Linked DNA regions of Drosophila melanogaster. The protein of the gene in region 2 binds, or shares a complex with, the protein of the main gene of each other region. Each region holds a gene or a part of one and is shown on either strand. Other genes may lie near its edges.

The links.
Region 1: exu (region 2) and me31B share a complex: the UniProt entries of both Drosophila melanogaster proteins name them as parts of the osk RNP complex.

The regions. Positions count from the first base shown.
Region 1 is NT_033779.5:10,237,266-10,242,858, forward strand, and holds me31B (maternal expression at 31B), read left to right. Parts: upstream 1-2,075; 5' UTR 2,076-2,270; coding exon 2,271-2,320; intron 2,321-2,673; exon of another isoform or gene 2,674-2,819; intron 2,820-3,226; coding exon 3,227-3,326; intron 3,327-3,414; coding exon 3,415-3,793; intron 3,794-3,867; coding exon 3,868-4,515; intron 4,516-4,580; coding exon 4,581-4,783; 3' UTR 4,784-4,907; downstream 4,908-5,593. Other genes in the region: mthl15 (methuselah-like 15), read right to left, coding at 1-580; chico, read right to left, coding at 5,372-5,593. UniProt on the Drosophila melanogaster protein: ATP-dependent RNA helicase which is a core component of a variety of ribonucleoprotein complexes (RNPs) that play critical roles in translational repression and mRNA decapping during embryogenesis, oogenesis, neurogenesis and neurotransmission.
Region 2 is NT_033778.4:20,666,927-20,672,804, forward strand, and holds exu (exuperantia), read right to left. Parts: upstream 3,836-5,878; 5' UTR 3,712-3,835; exon of another isoform or gene 3,710-3,711; intron 3,566-3,709; exon of another isoform or gene 3,452-3,565; 5' UTR 3,425-3,451; coding exon 3,275-3,424; intron 3,206-3,274; coding exon 3,053-3,205; intron 2,970-3,052; coding exon 1,674-2,969; 3' UTR 1,649-1,673; exon of another isoform or gene 1,426-1,648; intron 1,357-1,425; 3' UTR 501-1,356; downstream 1-500. Other genes in the region: Fem-1, read right to left, coding at 1-268; galla-1, read left to right, coding at 4,458-4,752, 4,820-4,932, 5,193-5,343, 5,414-5,511. UniProt on the Drosophila melanogaster protein: Ensures the proper localization of the mRNA of the bicoid gene to the anterior regions of the oocyte thus playing a fundamental role in the establishment of the polarity of the oocyte. May bind the bcd mRNA.

The DNA.
Region 1 (5,593 bases), on a different chromosome or scaffold from region 2:
ATTCCACGAGTGCTCTGTGGTCGGAACAGTTTAGGGTGTTATCAAAAAATATAATTGGACTGCTGATGATGGAAGTATAAACAAAGAAATCGCTTTCGCCCGGTTTGCATGTATTATTTTCGGAAACGTAAATAAATCCCTGTGGGCAGCACTTGTTTACAAATCCAACACTTTGAGACGGCACATTCTTTTCGAATTCACAAGATAAAACGATGAGACGTCTGTTTAATAGTCCAATGCATGAGTTATTTCGCAAATTCAAGGTGCGTTCACCTAAATCACTTATACTCAGACTGCTAAAGTTCTGGCACTTTGATAGTGCGAATTGGCTGTGGCCTGAGTCATTGATAGCCTTTTCTAATCCAAGGCCCATTGGTGGTATCAATTTGCCTATCACTTGGGCAAGATCCGGAAGTTCACTGATGTTGCTTGCGGCGGAAGCGCACTGGTATATTTCCGCATTGTCCACAGTGCGGCGATATTTGAATAGTAACGAATTCGCGGCACAGCATAACTGAACGGCGAGCACTTTTGAAATGCCACTTAAAATCAGGCACACTAAACTTAGTCCGATGTTCATTGTTTACGGCTCGTCTATTATACCCAATGACCGATTTGCGAGCTTGTGTAATGTTTGTATCTTTTCTTAGAACGGACTTTTCATATCTTATCATTGAGGAATCGTTATCGGACCATATACACTTCGAACCGCATGCAGTTGCCGGATTTAACGAACTGAACTGAAGTCTTCGCGATTCCTTCGCGAGCAAATGCGAATGTTTATGGGTAAACATTTGGCCCGCACACAGACGGACATAGCTCGACGTATATAGGCAATACATTTATGGATTCTCGTAAGCCTATACAAATAAGTTATGCCCCATGGAGTGCCTAACACTTAGCATGCTGGGGGTGCTCACGGATGGTATCAATACACCCAAATGGCCGCATATTTATGTAGGTACTTTGTGGTTCTAACACATATCTATCTATCTACACAATTCAATTGATGACTTTGTACACTAGCTTCTGACGGCAAGACAAATGCGACTGCTCGTGTTAACATTGTGCAAAGCTCATTAAGGGGAAATTGATAAGGTACACAGATACACACATCCATACACACTTATGTACAGAGGTGGGTGAGGTAAGCAATGGATCCTTTAATCGTCTAAGTACTCTACGCACCATAAATCACCTGGAAAATGTCAACGATACGCAAGTATTTATCTTTTCAATTAACTTAAGTCTAGTTATTAGCTGACTTTTTTCCATATATTCTTTCATGACACAAACTAAAATCGCAAACATAAATGTCATTTTTATAATATACAAATCTCCTCTATCGCAAGTACTATTTATTTATTCTAATACAAATATATTAATTTTGTCATTCTCCAATCGGAATAAGTATAAATAAAGTATAAATCCATTGGTTAAGAAAAGAAAAATCAAAAAAATAATTTTTATTCATTTTAATGTTATTAGTTAGTTTCTAATGTGATCTTTCATTAAATATTTAATACTTATAAATTATAAATGAAAAGATATTCATAAAAATCGCAGACAATCAAATTAAAGCTTAACTCAGATGTTCTTCTTTCATACACGTTCGAAATCTTCCTGTCGTTCCTAAGTCCCGTTCACACAGGCAGCTGCTTCATCTGAAATGCAGTTCATATATTGTTTTTGTTATAATTAAACGGTGATTTTAACCCGGCCGGAGTGGAGTTGCTCATTGGAAATGCTTTTCTAAATTAATTTAAATTTAAAATAACGGCAACAGCAGCTAACACAACAAAAATGTGAAATATTTGGGTATACATATACACCTACAGGATTTATAAGAGGAAAATTTAAATGCCGATTTTTTTTAAATAAAATAATTCTTGCCTAAATATGTGGACTAATTTTAAAACGTTCATTTGTTTTTGTTAAGCCATGTATAAATTTCTACAATATTATTGTTCGTCATTTTGAACTTGCAAAATTTGTTTCATTCCAACGTTCCAAATCAGGGCAATACATATTTATTATCTACACCGAGTGAAAATATTTTCCGAGTCATCAGAAATTTGTATTATTGATAGCATGTTGTAAGGCGACTCGACTATTTTGAAGCTAAGTGAAATTTTATATTGAAACGCAAAGTTGAATACGTGAGCAGTATATGAAAATCGGTGAATACAGTGACTTCATTAGTCAGCCGAAAGCAAAAGAGAGCGAAATACATTTTTTAAACAAACTAAACTAAAATTTCACTGTGAATAATGATGACTGAAAAGTTAAATTCTGGGCACACTAATTTAACAAGCAAGGGGTTTGTATATTTTATATTTATTTATATTTTTTTTTTCACAAGAGGACCCAAGCTTGGTGTCCCAACAAACATAATATGCATGCGTATTCATCAGCCCATATTTATGATTAGATGCCGAAAAGACAAGCCGTTTTATAGTTTAGAACGTCAATTTTTGCAAATGATTGAGCATGTAAAAGCCGAAGATCTGTATTTTAGCAACATCATGTAGTTAGGCTGTTTTCACTCAACAACTAAACCTGCAGAACATGTTATCTAATGAAAAAAACCAAACAATGTGATTCCCGTATTTATATTACTTTATTGTATGTAGTAGCGGAACATGTGTACATATGTATAAAAGAGTTATCTACATATGTAGTTGCACTCGTGGACTTATTTACCGCTAAAAATGTTGCTAAATATAATTGCACTGACTTAAATCATTTAGAAACTAACACTGTATTTAGGTAAAACTTCTATTGGGTGATTCTCAACTTTTGAGATCAGAACAAAACAGGTATTTTTTTTTTGCATTTCAGCGCCATGAACAGTTATTCGTGGGCTGCCATTTTAAAATTTGGAGTAGCGTTTCTTTTTCTCTCCTCCATAAATGTGCGAAAGAGAAAAAATGTTGAGTTCAATCGCTTTTAGATTGTTCAGTTCTTAAATATTCAAGACATTATCCATCTTTGTTTACGATTTAAAATCAATATTAACATTATTATTAATATACATTAATACATGGCTTAGACTTTAGCTTAAAATGCACTTTACATAAAAGAACTCATTTACAAAATTTTAAAAATCAAAAATTTTTAATATATATATATGCTTATATATGCCATCCATATATATATGGATGTGAATGACCTACATATATCGTAATACTTTAATTACCATTTTATTTTTTTTCTTTTCATCCAGGATTATAAATGATCTTCAAATTGCTGGAAACACAAGTGACGATATGGGCTGGAAATCAAAGCTGAAGCTGCCGCCAAAGGACAACCGATTCAAAACAACTGTGAGTTTGCCGACAAATCAATCGGAATTTATACAATTTAAAGCACAAACAAACTAACAAATAAATGTATTGCCATTGCCTTACTCAGGATGTGACCGATACGCGAGGCAATGAATTCGAGGAGTTTTGCCTTAAAAGAGAACTGCTTATGGGTATATTCGAGAAGGGATGGGAGCGCCCTTCGCCAATTCAGGAAGCAGCTATTCCTATAGCATTAAGTGGAAAAGATGTGCTGGCTCGGGCCAAGAACGGCACAGGCAAGACAGGAGCCTACTGCATCCCAGTTTTAGAACAAATCGACCCAACCAAGGACTACATTCAGGCACTTGTGATGGTCCCCACCCGAGAGTTGGCGCTACAAACCTCACAGATATGTATTGAGCTGGCGAAACATCTTGATATCCGGGTAATGGTCACAACGGGAGGTACCATTCTAAAGGATGACATTCTTCGTATTTATCAAAAAGGTGGGTTTTGATGATAGTTAAATAACCTAATATCGGTTTAATTGCAACTTTCTAAATTTTCCCTACGCCTGCAGTACAATTAATTATTGCCACTCCCGGACGAATATTAGATCTGATGGATAAGAAAGTTGCCGATATGTCGCATTGCAGAATATTAGTTTTGGATGAGGCCGATAAGCTATTGTCGCTTGATTTTCAAGGCATGCTGGATCATGTTATACTAAAGTTACCAAAGGATCCACAGATCTTGCTATTTTCCGCAACATTTCCACTAACAGTCAAGAATTTCATGGAGAAGCATTTACGCGAGCCTTACGAGATCAACCTGATGGAGGAGCTAACACTGAAGGGTGTCACTCAGTACTATGCATTCGTACAGGAGCGCCAGAAAGTACACTGCTTGAATACGCTCTTTTCGAAGCTGCAGATCAATCAGTCTATCATATTCTGCAATTCCACGCAACGTGTCGAGCTATTGGCCAAAAAGATCACAGAGCTTGGATATTGCTGTTACTATATACACGCTAAGATGGCCCAGGCACACAGAAATCGAGTATTCCACGATTTCCGCCAAGGACTCTGTCGCAATCTGGTGTGCTCCGACCTGTTCACCCGTGGTATCGACGTGCAGGCCGTGAATGTAGTAATCAATTTCGATTTCCCACGAATGGCAGAGACATACTTGCATCGAATTGGTCGCTCAGGACGTTTCGGTCATTTGGGTGAGTTTAATTGCATTCTCATATTATAGTTTAGCCTATTTACAATCTTCGTTTCTCATTTTAAGGTATTGCTATTAATCTGATAACCTACGAGGATCGGTTTGATCTGCATCGGATTGAAAAAGAACTTGGAACCGAAATAAAGCCTATTCCGAAGGTCATAGACCCCGCCCTTTATGTCGCAAACGTTGGCGCATCCGTTGGCGATACTTGCAACAACAGTGATCTGAATAATTCTGCGAACGAGGAGGGCAACGTTAGCAAATAAAACGGATATGCCCTGTGTAACGCTAGTATCTGAAATAGAGTCTAAATCGTGGAATCAATAAAAACAGATGAACTATTTCAGAAATCAAAATTGTATTAAATAAATGGAAAGCAATTCAATTTTTAAATGCGCTCTTAAGATAACTGAAATGACTGGTCTATAAAAAAAAGGCTCGTTCACTTTGTGGGTTTTGGTGCTGAGAAGTATTAACATTAACTATTGGGGATTTGGTAAGGAAAGTTAGTCGAATGCTATTAAAAGGCAGGCTAAGGTCGTTTAATATCAATCCAGTTTTTAGTAAAGGGTTTAAATCAAATAAAAGGTCTAAAAGTAATTACAGGATTTTCGGACAAGAGAAGTACACTTGGATCAAGCTAAATCCTAGATTTACTTACATGGAAGAATTACCATTGGCAATTACCCGATTTACTAGATTCCAAAAAAAAAGTACAAAGGGATCATTATAATTTAAATAAAATTTATTTATTAGCATCCAAAATTGTAAGCTTTGCTTGTCAGAATATTTACAATAAATGTACAATATTAAACAAATCATATATATAGGATAGGGTCATAAATTTCAAAACTTTACGTATTAAATATGTTCGATGAGGAGGAAGAGGAGTCGGATTGGTCAAAGTCGATTTTCGCATAGGTATTCCCATCCTCCGGGCATGCGGACACCGGCGGCGATTCGCGTGATCCTCTCTTCAGGTATTTAGCTGGATTTTGGCCACTGCAATGGGGAAGATCTAGGCTGGCGTAGTGCAGCTCCGGCTGGGATATGCGAGACGACGACCTTGAGGGGAA
Region 2 (5,878 bases):
CCAGGTGGGTCTGCACCGCCCTGCAGCTAACCGAATTCAAGATCTCGACGAAGCTCAACATCTGACCACTGCGGGCCGCTAGGTGAAGGTTGTTTAGCTGGGAGAAACGTAGACGCGGCTCGTGGGGAAACTTGGCCCGGATCTCCTCGGAGATCTCCACCAGCATTCCGTGGGCCATGTTGAAGTAGCCGAAATCGGGCGGATAGCCGTCGTATATGGACGTATGTGCCTCGTCTAGAGGCGCCTCTTCTGCGGGATCGACGTCCATTCTGGCCGGGAAATGGACGATGCTGCACTGATCGGTGATCACTGATCACCAGGTATGGGTATGGAAGCAATCCACACAGGCCCACTCTTTCCAGGCCAGGCGGCAATACGGTCACACCTAGCGGTGCACCTGCGAGAGTGAAAACAGTGACTCGGCGCGATAGGCTGACCGTTAGTTTATCGTTCGTTTATTCGCGCCCTTTGCAGATATTACATATGTTTGTTGATTCGTTAGTTTATCGTTCGTTTATTCGCGCCCTTTGCAGATATTACATATGTTTGTTGATTGTAAATATGAAACATATATGAAATACAGCTTGAAATACTGGATATGTTCACAAGTGTTGGGTTAGATTAAGTGTGCGAATTGAATATGCTTTCTGTGTGCGTGCGTGTGCGTGCGTAAGGTTAACTGTATTAGATTGGTGTATTTTTATATCGTGCTTTCTTTAGCTTCAATGTGAAAGTTTTCTACATTGGACCAGGCCTGGATCTTGGGTTTTATTCATAGAGTTTTGATAGTGTGCGTCGACAGGCCCGTCCAATGGAAAATTTTCATCGAGGCGTTTCGTTTTGGATCATATTTTCCCAATCTCCCATTTGAGTGCGGCGATGTGCATCGGTTCGCCGGGAAAACTATGCCTAAACGCAGCGAGTTCTTAATTGTACATCATATTTGTTGTTCCTTCTTCTCCATCATTATTTCTAGCATACGCTGCTTTAAAGTGTGGATATATAGTCTCTTGAGTTTACAGTGGGCTCAGCATCCTCCCTATGCTGGACAATATAGTTTTCAAACGTCTCGATTAACAATTCACTCGTTTCAAAAATGTCGCTTGAAGCTTGTGTCATCACTATTCAACAGTCACTGTTTACGTCACAGTCACGGTTTACTCACACTATCGATACACCAACGTGCTCGTGAGTTGTGCGCGGATGTGTTTGTTGTGTTCACGGGAAATTTGCTTCCACTGGAATTTAAAGCTTGTCTGCACTAGATCTTCTAAAAGGAAGAAAGTTCGTATGTGGTTTAAATCTCCATTCTCTGCCCTTGTCTTCTTGTGTTTTGATCATCCATTTTTTGATATACTGAAATGGCAAAATGTCGGTTAGGAAACTCAATCCCGAAAATCCCAAAGTGATTTGAATGATTAGCTTAAGCGTTGTGAGTTTATATTGAAAATATGTAATAAAACCTTTTACATTTAGCTAAAAAAGGCTACATTTTTATCAATATATTTGATGCATAAAATTCATTAAAAATACAAGCAAGTGTACGCAATTCATAAAATTAATCAACAATCTACATGAAGGCTTACCCCTCGTTAACTACGTTATCTACAAAGCAAATGGCAGAAGTATCTCAATATAAGATATTTACTTTACGGATCCACCAGAACTGGATTTTAGTTGGAGGCCGTGATGGCCACCGGTGTCGGTGAGGGTTGTGCCACGACTGGGCTTATGGTTACGGCAGGTGGAGCGCTATTGTTGAGCTCAGACACGCCTGAGGAGGATATTTCAGCAGCAACCTTGAGTCCATTGGGGGTTGCACCCAAGCTTTGACGCGAGTTGCGCTTACGGTGCATACGCGGCTTGTTTGGCGAGGGAGTCTTGGTAGTAGAGTCGGGCAACGAGGAAACGCTGCGCGACTTGTCACCTCCTGCTCCAAACTCGGTGCTAGCCGATGGGGAGCTGGATGGCCTAGCGTCCTTCACCGATTGGCGGCCGCCGCGTCGATTGCGACGACGATAATTGTTATTATTGTTGCTGTTACCCTTGACAACCGGCTTCACCGTGGTCTTCTTGGGATCGAAATAGCTGTCCAGAAGCTCGAGCAGCTCCGCCTTGTCCTTGCTCTTTAGCCGGCCAATTGACTGCAGGGCTATGTCCAGGCCCTCGATGTTTTTCTCTGCCCAGATGGCACTTAGCGTGTTCAAATCGAACCCATTCTCGGCCAGCACAATGCGGAACTTTACGGCACGCACACGATGGTACAGAGTGGTCTTGAAGTAGTTCAGGAACACCGGACGGAAGGAGTTTTGACGCTCCAAATTTTCGATCTGGATATCCAGCTCCAGGACATCGGACACCACCAACTTGGCAAACGGACGTATGGCATTAAACATATTCTCCAATGCCTCCGAGCTTTTTGGTTCCGGCTTGCCGTCGGAGTTGCTCAGCTGAAGGGCCACATCAAAGGCCAATTTGGCACGAACACTGGCATTGCCATCAAACAGTTCCCGCTTACCCTGAACGGCGTTCTTGCTAGATTGCTTATCGTCACCATTGGTCACGGTACTGTCCCTGGGGGATATCGATACCGAATCGGACACCATACTAGATCCAGATCCCAAGCCAGATCCAGATCCAGATGTGGACGCAGAGCAAGCCGCGTCTTCCTCCTTGGTCGTGGACAAGATCTTGGAAAGCTTTCGCAGACTGTAGTTCTTTATGTTGGCATCGCCAATGGAAGCCTTGGCCAGATTGATGCTGTTTGCAAACGACTTCACCGACGCGGTGAAGCGCTCCAACAGGCCGTACTTCTTCAACGACTCCAGGATCATGTAGGGAATGAACTTGCGCTCTTCATGATAGATAAGCACAATCCCGTCCGAGCTGGGACCCGCCTTGGTCTTCAGTTGCTCAAGCCAGTTGAGGAAGTCCTTGAGGGCAGCGATCTCAGACTTGGATTTAATGATCTGAGAGGATATTGTATGTTGAATTGTGGATGCTTCAATACTTGACTGCCACTATTAAATGGACTGGACTGCACTGGACTCACCTTATAAGTCTGCATCGACTTCAGCATACGATAAAAGCCAATCGAAATAACACGAACTTGATGACGCTGGCGAGCAGCTGGATTCAGATTCATATATGGCATGATGTACTGCTCGAAGTGGTCGGTGGGTGTATAAGCGGCCAGCTGGACAATCTGTGGGTTTATCGCAAGTGGGGTTAGGACCGAACGACGAACGATCTAACGGCAGTCAGGGGGTATTACCTCATCCATTAGACGACGTCCAGTGGTGTCGATATCCACGCCCACCAGGATATAATTACCGGCCGGCAGCTCAACTTTATCGCCCACGGGCGACGAGGATTGATCGGCGACGGCAATGGCCACTCCGGCATCGATGTTATCGGCAACCATTTTCTTATATGATCTGCGAAAAGCAATCTAGAAAATTCGGATAACGAAATTAGCTGAGTCACTAGAATTTTTTTTTTTTAAGGAACCGATTTCCTTTGCAAAACGCGAACCGCTTTCACTAGATTTTCGATATGAAGTGACGGGCTACGAATTTTCAAGAGTCTATTAAACCCAAAGCTACAACTAACGGTTTTCTTCCAGTGGCGCCATCTTTTACACAGATGTTTTTATGTGTATGTATGTATGTTCACTTTCACCACACTTTAGCACTTTTCTTTTGGGCTCACCTTTATTGAACTCCTTTTTCGTGTTGGTTTCGATGGGCTCTTTCGCTTTTTACGAACTTTTTCCTTTATTTTTCAAAAGGTTAAAGCGAAATTTGCTTCTGTTCGACGAGCTTTCACAAATAAGAAACAATTCGTACGACTAACTAAAACGTAATGAATAATTTCCTGATGCACCCGACGGCCTAGGAAAAGTGCGCGAATTTGACATATGCAAAGCCTGCTAATCGAGGTTTTTGACTTAAGTACGATGGGTTAGACAGCTGCAACTCGTCCACATCTTGCCACAACGCCCACTGTGCAGGTGAAAACTTTTTGCAGAATATTTTTACCGCTGCTATAATAAAATATAGTCTTTCAGCTTGTAAATAAATTTTTTTCCAATTATTAGCCGGCAAAATTGGTGGGTAAACAACAAATATTTGGACAAAAGCGCAGACAAGAACTGATAAGAGGATCAGGGATGACGAATTTCAAATGGTTGCGCCAGAGATGACAGGGTATCGATATCACTATCGATAGACTTATCGAAGACGGCTTAGCACTTATACCTACTCTGCAGCCCTGGTCGGCAGAAAAACAATAATCAGCTGATGCCATCGCTTATTTCCAACAATTTGCACCGCAAAAGTGAAGAATTACCAAGCAAATAGATCGCCTGCCGACCGAATTATGCTGCTGTAATCACCCAAGCACACAACGGTAAAGATAAAACCAGGCGAGATAACACCACGCACAGGTGCCACAACATGCTGTCCTACATAAAGCGCAAGCTCTCCGAATCCGACAGCGGCGTCAGTTCGGTCGCAACTGTGACGTCGTCGTGCGGCGGCGATAGTGGGAGAGCGGGCGGAACGGGCAGCAGTGAAAGCGGTACGGGCAGCAGCAGCGCCAGTATCAGCGGACGCAGCCAGAACGCCGACGAGTTAGTGCGCAAAACGAGCCAGATGTCGATGGATGATGAGGCCATTGCCTTCGGGGAGGACGCACTGCTCCATGAACTGGGCTACAAGAATCAGACGGAACTGCAGGAAACCATCTACGGTTCGATATTTAATGGCATTCTTTTTCACTTTGGCCTAGTTATGTAATTTCTCTTGTCGTTACACAGATCTGTTGCGCGGCATTCGCGATCCCGAGAAGCCGTGCACTTTGGAGGACCTCAACGTTGTCTACGAGGATGGAATCTTTGTGATGCCGCCCACGCGCTCCAATGTCTCAGTTGTACGTTACTCAATATCTTTATAAGCCATAAGCTTGAGCCCTAATCATCATTTCATCATAAGTTAAATCTGCGCGTGTGTTTATTTGCTTTCATCACTATTGTTGCTTAATATTTGAAAGGATTAACGATTTAGCTTCAAAATGACTTTAAAATTGATCTCATAGCTTAAAGTACTTGTATTATACTAAATCCACACCTCATAAATCTTTTGTGTAGTAAAAAGTTGAAATGCATGGTATTTGTCTCTTAATTCTTTCAGGTTCGCATCGAGTTTAACCCCACAGTGCCACATTGCTCGTTGGCCACGCTTATTGGACTCTGTATACGCGTGAAAGTAGAACGCGGACTTCCGCACAACATAAAGCTAGACATATACATCAAGAAGGGAGCGCATCAAACCGAGGAAGAGAGTAAGTTGGACCAACCAGATACTATTATCATACATATGTGTTCTAAGTAAAAATGATTACGTTTCCCCAGTTAACAAGCAAATCAATGACAAGGAGCGCATCGCTGCGGCCATGGAGAACCCCAATCTGAGGGATTTGGTCGAGAACTGCATCAAGGATGAGGAGTAGCTCTCTTTGCCATATCTTTTGTACATAGGGAATACTTTGAGGAATGTCTAGGATTAAGTGTACCATTAAGTTGCATCAGGGAGTGTGTGCTTAGCATTAAAGCCCTTAAAATCTGTTAATCGCTCGGCCGTTTTGATTCCACCAGAATATCGATTGCTCAACGTCCTATCTATTTTCCCGCCTATGCTGCTTACTGATAAGGTCCCCCGGGCCCAACAACTCTCATTGTTTACATTGTGCCGAAGCGATATGGCCGTCGGACATTCGGCCCAAGAAAACCGTGTGCACATCGGTGTCATGGCGGGTGAATGAATCTGAATCGCAATCGTATCGATGGGCCGGCCATGTTGGGCACCAGCCAGACGGC